2 linked regions of the Rattus norvegicus genome follow. The protein of the gene in region 2 purifies or fractionates together with the protein of the main gene of each other region. This does not show direct contact. Links are inferred from orthologs where the notes say so. Each region holds a gene or a part of one and is shown on either strand. Other genes may lie near its edges.

Region 1 (4,378 bases), on a different chromosome or scaffold from region 2:
CCTTTTATGAGCAATAAAGTCACTTAATAGAACACTGAAATTTTATGTCAGTTATGTTTCCCGTCTAGCTCAAAAAGTCTGAGCATATTTCTTAGGGTTTCTTATTTGACTTTAACCTTCTCATTACTTGGGTTTAATATTTGTACTCTTTCTCAGCTTGCTTCTTTGAGCTAAAATATACCTAAAGTTAAAAGCCTTGTAAGTAGGTACCCTATAGCTTGCTGGATAAGCAGGTGTATAGGGAAACAGAAAGAAGCATTCTTAGGATTAGATGCTCTCAGGGGCAGGACACCGTGGGCACTCTTAAGAGATGTGAAATCAGTGAGAAACTGTTCTATGTATCTGAAACCTGAGGCAATCCATCACACGGCAGACACCAGAACTGCAGGAAAGTGGCTCCCTTACACTGCGGCCACGGCTATGACTGCTGTGTGCTGAGTCAGTCGTGAAGTGCGCACTCGTTTCGATACTCTTTATGTGCACACCTGATAATGTGTAAACTCTACAGTTACTGAATAGGCCACTCTGTGATGTAGTGGGCTACAACCTGAAACTGAAACATCCATGACTACAGCAGAAGACCAGAAGAGTAAAGGACTAAAACTACTACTGAAGGTCTGGGGGATGGGGCTCAGTTCCAGAGCGCCTGCCAAGCATGTATGTTAAGGCCTGGGTTCCATACAGAACACTTCCCCAGAATCTTCTGAAATGGCTAAACAGAAGCATCGCTTCTATAGTTTTACAGCTTAAAAAAGTCGTTTCTACTTTTCATCTAAGATACCTTATCTGACCCAAAGTTTTACCTACTAATGACAGATCCTCCTGAGGCCACTGATAAGCACTACAAAAACCATTCAGAAACAAAGGCTCTGTATCCCATTTTCAAATGTCAAAAGTTAAGAGACTCTCTGCTGGATTACAGAAAAAAAGGGGACAACGTGATCGTGTACTCTGGGACAATTAATTCATATGAGAGGAGACCCTCTATAGATAATTCAAATTAACTCTGTGTCAAATTGGTGTCTCGTCTCTCTAAAGTATAAATGAGTAGGCTCCTGCATTAAAACTTCCACATATTATCTTTACTAGCATTTTAAAATTAATTCCTAAAGAGCTAATTCCCTAATCTAGAAGGAAGCTAGGTTCCAGGGATCTCACTAAACACAAATGCATCCTCCAACGACAGTTTCAAAGAACTTAAGGCACCTCAAGTGGTATTTTTACTTCAGATTCAGAGCAAACCGTAGTCCCTAACTAAACATAAATGCATTACATTTAAGAATTGAAACACTCATTTTCTAAGCTTTGTTGACTATACGCTCTGTGATGTCATGGGGTTCTGGAAATTCCCTGCCAGCACATAGAGAGTGAAAGTAGCCTGTTTCAGAAAAACTAAAGGATCTGGCTGCAAATCCCAGCGAGGAAAGCAACAGTACTGCAGTCCACATTACTATCCAAATCACCAAATATCAAGATTTTCAAAAGCTCAGGAAAGCAAGAATTCATTTGTGCTGCTCCGACAGGAAAATGTGAACTTGTCGTTGACGTCCCGGTTTCTCTACTTGGGATTTCTGAACTTTTCCAAAACGTGAAATGTTGTATGTTATGTGCCGATCATGTAGCGCTACCCAGCTTTCCAAGTGACTGAAAAGATATTTATTCGAAAAATAAAAGTGGAGCACCTGACTGGGGGAAGTGCTGTGCCCTAGGGGAAAGAGCTCAAGGTACGGCATATGAAAACACTCCATCTTCATCGCACACAAACGAAACTGCAAAGCGCCCAGGAGCATCCTGACTGCCTGAGTAAAGACAAATATTTAGATTCCCAAGACTCGGACTTGGTTATCGCATCTCTAGAGCGTGTTTTTCAAAATGCAAGGATTTAAAACTAAGACGAGCTCTTAAAAATCTTTCTGAACAGTAAGGCAATCAGAGGCAAGTCCTAGCAAATTCTTTTGTACTTTAAAATGGAAATACTCGAGTAGACCCTCAAAATGACACAATGCAGGGTTGGACGATAAGAGTCTTGCAAACCAGCAAATGGGTCCAAGAGCTGCCACCAAGCCCAGGGTGATGATGTCTCTCTAATGCGGCCTTAATTTCCTTTAGGGAAGATGGATGGGGCATTTCTGGTTAGTCGTGGGAAAAGACGCAAGAAGCCAGGCTTTATGTTCATTAGAATTGGAAAAAGGCAAATGGATCAAAACATTAGGAGCAAAGAAGGGGGTGGGTGGGGGTGGGGGGACAGAGGGAATCCAGTTTCCAATCAGGCCAGTGGGGGCTGCAGAGAAGCCAGAGGAAAACCGGCTTCGGAGCCAAACTGTGCCAAGCACCAGGCATTACAAAAGACCAGTGTGACGCCCCCCACCCCGGGGCATCACGCACACACTCAGCCGGTATTCCCGGGCGGGCCCTCGCCCGCTTGGACACCTCGTGTAGCAATTATGCAATTAGGGAAGAGCTCGGGACAGCCGGGCACTTTGCACCGCGACATCCATCCTGGACTTTGCGGAGACTTAGTTCCTGGCTGCGGTGGGCGCGGGAGGGGAGAGGACAGGTCCTCGAAGGCGAAGGAGGGCCACACTCTGCGGGAGGGGGGAGGGGCGCGCGGGCCCCAGCGGGCACGCGCAGGGCCAGGGAGGCCTGCGGGGCCGCGGGCGCGCGCCCGAGCCGAGGCCGCGGCGGGGGCGGGGATCTCGCCGGTCTGCCCCTCGCCGCGTGGGGTCCCCGCGCGCCCTACGCCGGGGCTCCGGCCGCGGCCACGCCCGCCCGCCCGCGCCTACTCACCTCGCGGCGCCGCCCGCGCTCCAGCCGCGGCTCGGACGCCGAGTCCGGGAGTGAAGCCGCCGCCTCCGCGAGCCGCCGCTGCCGCCGCCGCCCGCCGTCCGCGCGCGCCCCCTCCCAAGCGCGCACTCGCCCTGCCTGCCCCGAGAGCCCGCGACAGCGCGAGCCCCACGTCGGCCTCGCGGTGCCGCGCCCGCGAGCCCGCGACGCGCTTTGGCCCCGCCCCCGCCGGCGCGTGCCCGCGCGCGGGGGGGACCAGTAAGGTGCGCGCGCAAAAGTAAAGTGACAGCTGAGTCCTGGGCCCGGTAAAGGCGGGTTAGGGCGAAGGGAAATGGAGGAGGGAAATCGAGGCTCGACGGCGGCGCGAAGGGAGGGACGCGAGGACCTTGACGAGCGCGCGCAGTAAAGGGACACGCATTAAAGGGACACGCGGGCTAAGGGGTGGGGGTGCGTTTCAGGAGGGTGCAGTGCGGCGGAGTTGGATGAAGGGTAGGGAGACCCCCTCCCCCCCGACCCACACACACCATGCACCCACCAGCTTGTGCTCGTGCAGGACCCACCTGCCCCGCGGTTGGGAAACTTCGCGTGGGCCCGGATGAAGCCTCGCTTTACCCCATAACTGCTGCAGGAAAGGTCCTGCTGAGCCTAGTTCTGTCCAGGAATGCTGGCTGCCACCCTGGGAGGCTGCGGAGGGCGGGGCGGGGCGGGGCGAAGGGTGCAGCACTATCAGAGTGAGTGGGAGGCTGCCACTGAAAGACCCGCGTGGGACAGTAGCTGTGCTGTGAGTGGCCTGAGGAATATCAGGTTTCCCAGTCATTGTAGCCCAAAATAGGCACTGAAGAAAAAATTGCACATTCTGGGTTAACTCAGCACCCATGAACTCACCTCATCACCACCACCACCACCACCACCACCCACACACACACACACACACACACACACACACACACACACACACACACACACGGCCCTCCAGCCTATCATAACAGCTAAGATCTAAGACTACTCTTAACTTCTGTGAGGATTCTTGGGAGCGGTTGAGCCCATGCAGTAGTTCTGCCCAACAGAAAGGGCTGGGACCTCCATTCTCACGGATGAGAGGGGAAGACCCATTACGCTCCAAGACACTTGAACAGTGATAGCCAATACATAGGAAACCATGGGGAACCCAGCCTAACAGCCTAACACCTAACAGGTGGCCATAGGCCACCATGAGAATGTGAAGCCCTGAGTCAATCAAGAACTAGTGAAAAAAGACGCCAGAGACTAGAGCAATACAAGACCCAGAACCGGCTTCTGGAACAGAAAATGCTTCCACGAGATGCATTCTTCAAGAGTTGGCTTTTAACTAATTAAGTCACTGAAAACTGCCCCAAGCAGCTAATGGTGTCTAGCCTGGAACTCACCACTGAGGAAAAATAACAGCACCTTTGTCCTTAGGAATGTCAGCTCAAGAATGTTTGGGAGGGAGGGTTGGAAATGGTGAAACCTGGTTTTCTGGTTTGTGTGGCCACGTACAGCTGTCTCATGGTGTATTAGGAGAATACTAATACATGTACTAGTACAGTGTGTTAGTAGAAATGCATCATGTTTA
Region 2 (4,397 bases):
GATCCTGGGGGAAAAAAAAACAAGAAGAAGCCAATATGAAATCCACACCCTTCCTTCAGCTGGCTGAGCTGAATTTTGTATTGTCCCTGTTCCAACTAGCCCAACTTACTTGTGGATCTGCTCATCTGAAAGTCCTCGGGGGTTACGGATGGAGATCTGGGGCACCTCGTGGGGATACTGATGCAGAAAAGCAACGAACAGTCATGAATGTGATGCACGCTGGGGGCTCTCCCCTTCCTCCCTTGACTACTGTGCAGAGGCCGCCTCACCTGCACGGGGACCTGAAGAACCAGAGTAAAGCAGACAAACTGCGAATCCTGGACCTCTGCGGTGGCAGGGTGCAGAGTGATGAAGATCTCCCATGGTGATCTGCAGGTGGATGAAGTGAAGACGCAGGATGTGACTAGGCAGGGGCTTGAAAGCTAGGGAGGAGGGGGTGAGAGAGTAAAGCAGTAGAGGAATGCACATTGGGCTTGTTTCTCTGGGCTGGGGGAGGAAGGCTTAAAGGAATAGTAGATAAACTTTACCTCTGAGGCAAGGCTCAGAGTACCCTAAGTCCAGATTCTGTGTAGAATTCTCTCACGACTGAGACCCCTGCCCGCCCCTTGCTGAATACGTACCTGCCGTTCCCTTTCATCACCTGTAGTTCGTCCAGATAGATAGATTCTAATACTTCAACTTCAGAGGGAAGGACCCTGGAGAGTAACGGGGAGACTGAATCACCATTGCAATTCTCCCTACCTAAGCTGCCAAGGCTGATGAAGACTGACTTTTTTTAAAAAAAATCTGCCTGAATACATTCTCTGGCCAAATTATTCTTTAAAACTGGGAAGTGTTTCTTCAAGCCAGGTAGAAAGCATGGGAATTAAAGTTTTGGAGATCACACTGCCAACTTGAGAAAACACATTCCCAGAGGAATTAAAACTAACCAAACCGTAACCCAGGAGGAATGGGACCAATCAGAGGCAGGTTCTGGCTCCCTGCTTACATTTCTACAGCGTAGGTTATCCTTTAGTGGGTTTCCCTCTGACCTGCATATTTGACATTCATTCATTAACAAGGCTATCAATATTATTTCTGCCCACCTATATTACTGTATAGCACAGATCCCAGTGTTCTGGCTACAGCCAATATCTTGCCAGCACCAGTCAGTGTAAACATCCTCAAAAGGACATAGCAAGTTAAACAGGTCTAGGTAATATAAAAGCTATACTGTATTAGAAGAGTCATAGGCCTTGTAGCAAATAGTAGAGCAGAAACTATTTACCAAGCTATGTGGTCAGGTTACTTTTTTTAGAAGCCTGAGTTACACTGTCTACCACCTAGTGATAATACAGCATACTCACTAGGGCTACTACGAGAGGTATAAATGATTTGGTTATATAAACTGCACAATGTCTAAGACATAGTATCTAGTTTAAGTGACCCCCCCCCTTAAAAGGAAAAAGGGCTTAGTTTGAGGACCCCGAGTATACACATGATCCAGGATGTGTAGTTAGTCCTGATCATCATGGCCAAGACAGGGCTCGTGGTCCTGATATTAATCAGTGGGCTCACATTTAAACAGAAAAAACAGCGGTTATAACATCGAGGAAGAGTGATTGTCCACAGCGCTACCCAGGTGAATGAATATATATATATATCTGTATCTGCTTTCTTATACAGTTCCTCTCCACCGAGAAGGCGCGCACCCCACTATCACCTCTATCAGTAATGGTTACTATTAGCATTCTTAAGCCTTAGGCAGAAACCTTAAAATACAAAACTTATTATTTTACAAATTAAAAATAAGACATTCGTGCTGGAGAGATGGCTCAGCGGTTAAGAGCACCCAACTGCTCTTCCAGAGGTCATGAGTTCAATTCCCAGCAACCACATGGTGGCTCACAACCATCTGTAAAGAGATCCGGTGCCCTCTTCTGGTGTATCTGAAGACAGCTACAGTGTACTTATATATATAAAATAAATGAATAAATTAAAAAAATCTTAAAAAAAAATAAGACATTCTGGCTACTATAGACTACTGCAAACACTGTTACTCTGTCATGGCTCAGGTGTCCCTTCATATGTTAGAAGTCCCTCCCAACATTGAAAAGCACTAGTCTGGCTGGGCTCCCTAAACCAACAGAACACTGAGGTGCAGCCGCAGGTAAGACTTCCTTCAGTACTTTGCCCACCTTAGGTCAGCTGAGTCTTGGATGTCAGATATAGACTAGGAGTAAATAAGGTCAGAGGTTACAGATGGGGGTCAACAGTAGGCTGTCCTAATACTAACAGTGTAAGGCCTCAACTCAGATGTCCTTTGGGCTACCTTAGTCTCTCGCAGTCTTATACTTAGGCAATTAATGAGAAGCAGGCTTATGCATATTACAAATCCACAGTGATCCTCCCAAGTACTCTATGAGGTAATGCCACACCCACTTTTTTTTTTAATAGCTGACACTGAGCTAGCTGGTTTGGTCGGCATCACATCAAGCTAATTAAATACGAAGTGAGCACATTTTTATCTTATGTCCAAAATCCAAAATCCTTAAAGGTTTTTGGTTTCTTATTAAGAATGCTCGAGAGAGTAGGAGATCTTATGAGGGGAGTAAGGCTTTTCTGACAATAGTTATTAGTGCTGTTGGTTATATGGGAAGATTGAAAAACGCATAGACAGAAATGGTCTGGTCCATGGGGCAGGGTCCTAGAGGCACGAGGAGTGCGTCCGTTCCTAGAGGCGGGAGGTGTGATGATGAGCAACCATCCTCCAGTGCCCAGAAAATCACATCAGGGAGAAGTGGGGCGGGGTAGGCCCGTAGAGTGGGCAATCGGGTCGATAAGGCGTGGGCCCAGCTGGCCAGGCCGCTGTAGACCCAGTCCCTTCCCAGATCGGCGTCCCTCCACCCTCCGTTCCCGGTTCAGTAGCTCGCCTACGAAAGGATGTCAGGGTCTCTTCCATCCCTCTCCCTATGATCCACCCTTTATGCCGGTGGTTCGGACGGTCCGAAGCTGTTGCTAGCTCCCAGCACCAGATCCAGGCAGCCAGCCAAAACCTATGACCCAAAGTTACCAGTCCTCTTCCCCGGCAGCTGTAGACGCAGACGCCGCCATGTCTTCTCCGGCTCTTGGCCGGAACCGGAAACACCTTTTGGGAAGTTAGAGGCGGAAAACTAGGGCGGGGCGGAGTAAAAGAAAGCTGGCGCCGTTTCTAGGCAACTGCAGACTCTAGATCCTTTGTGGGGTCTGCTAGCCAAGCGACAGAAGTGCCCTAGAAAGTGCTAATGGGCGGTTCGCATCTGTCACACACCTCTGAGAGCTTTGTCCTCTAAACTTCTGACCAGTTCCAGGGAGTAAAACTGGTAAGAGTGTGGGAAACTAACGAGAGCTGCAACGGAATGGAGAAAAGTAACGCAGGCAGCTGGGAGGGACCCCGGTAGAGGCCCAGGGCCACCAGCCCTCAGTCTGGGCAGTTTGAAGGTCTAGGCTGGGGGCAGGGTAGGGGACCTCGGGTCAGGATCGGAGTGGTGTTGCTGGGCCAGCTGAGGATATCAGGGACTTGGGAGAGCAAAAAAGGAGCATGTTGGTGAGCATTGCTAGAGAGGGGAAAGGGGACACCGGGCACCTAGCCTGGGTGGGGGTGCCCGAGACATTCTAAGACCTGATCATCTTTCCACCCTGGTCATGTATTCGAGGCCTTGGTTATTGTGAAAAACAGGAGAAAGCAAGGCTGATAACGTGTATCTTTCTCCCATGTTGTGGGCCAGGCCTCCCAGATGTGTGGAACCATCCCTGGATCTATAGCTCTTTGTCACCGTCTTCTTTCTGCCTTCTGAGAGACCCTGAAACCCTTGCCATGGAAAAGTACCACGTTTTGGAGATGATTGGAGAAGGCTCTTTTGGGAGAGTGTATAAGGGCCGGAAAAAATACAGTGCTCAGGTAGTGAACAAGGATATCTTTTAAGTGGGATTTGGTGACCCACTTGTCCAGTAAAGACTTGGGACAGAAGGGCTGCACGGTGTATATTTCTAGACCCTGACTCCAGCATACTTCCTAGGGTATATAGGCTCAGAAATTTGATTTCTTGGAATCAAATCCCGGCCTTAGAACTAGGGGCAAACTACCTAACCATTCCATGCTTCAGTTTCCCCAAACTGTACACTGGGGGAAGATTGATAGGGTCTGAGGATTAAATGTACTTTACACTTAATCACTTAATACGATGCCTGACATCTACTGAACGACAAAAATTATAACTGTCCTTTGTATGACCTACGAAGATGACCCCTTGAAGTCCTTCCATCTCTCCATCTTCTTTCTCCTTCCCCCACATCTCACCTGAGTCCTTTGCTTATGTCAGAAAACCTCTGCCAGGGTCCCATCAAAGGGATCTATTTGCCAGTAACTGTTTCCCCCA

The links.
Region 1: the proteins of Rnf25 (region 2) and Ube2e2 purify together in Homo sapiens (affinity purification with mass spectrometry; 3 studies listed by BioGRID and IntAct, counting the BioPlex papers as one, with this or other methods). This does not show direct contact. The link is inferred for Rattus norvegicus from reciprocal best matches to the Homo sapiens genes RNF25 and UBE2E2.

What each region holds. Positions count from the first base shown.
Region 1 is NC_086033.1:9,410,139-9,414,516, reverse strand, and holds the start of Ube2e2 (ubiquitin-conjugating enzyme E2 E2), read right to left. Parts: upstream 2,898-4,378; 5' UTR 2,788-2,897; intron 1-2,787.
Region 2 is NC_086027.1:83,622,860-83,627,256, forward strand, and holds the start of Rnf25 (E3 ubiquitin-protein ligase RNF25), read right to left. Parts: upstream 3,102-4,397; 5' UTR 3,094-3,101; coding exon 3,053-3,093; exon of another isoform or gene 3,046-3,052; intron 2,464-3,045; exon of another isoform or gene 2,178-2,463; intron 696-2,177; coding exon 621-695; intron 423-620; exon of another isoform or gene 370-422; coding exon 270-369; intron 178-269; coding exon 110-177; intron 5-109; coding exon 1-4. UniProt on the Homo sapiens protein: E3 ubiquitin-protein ligase that plays a key role in the RNF14-RNF25 translation quality control pathway, a pathway that takes place when a ribosome has stalled during translation, and which promotes ubiquitination and degradation of translation factors on stalled ribosomes.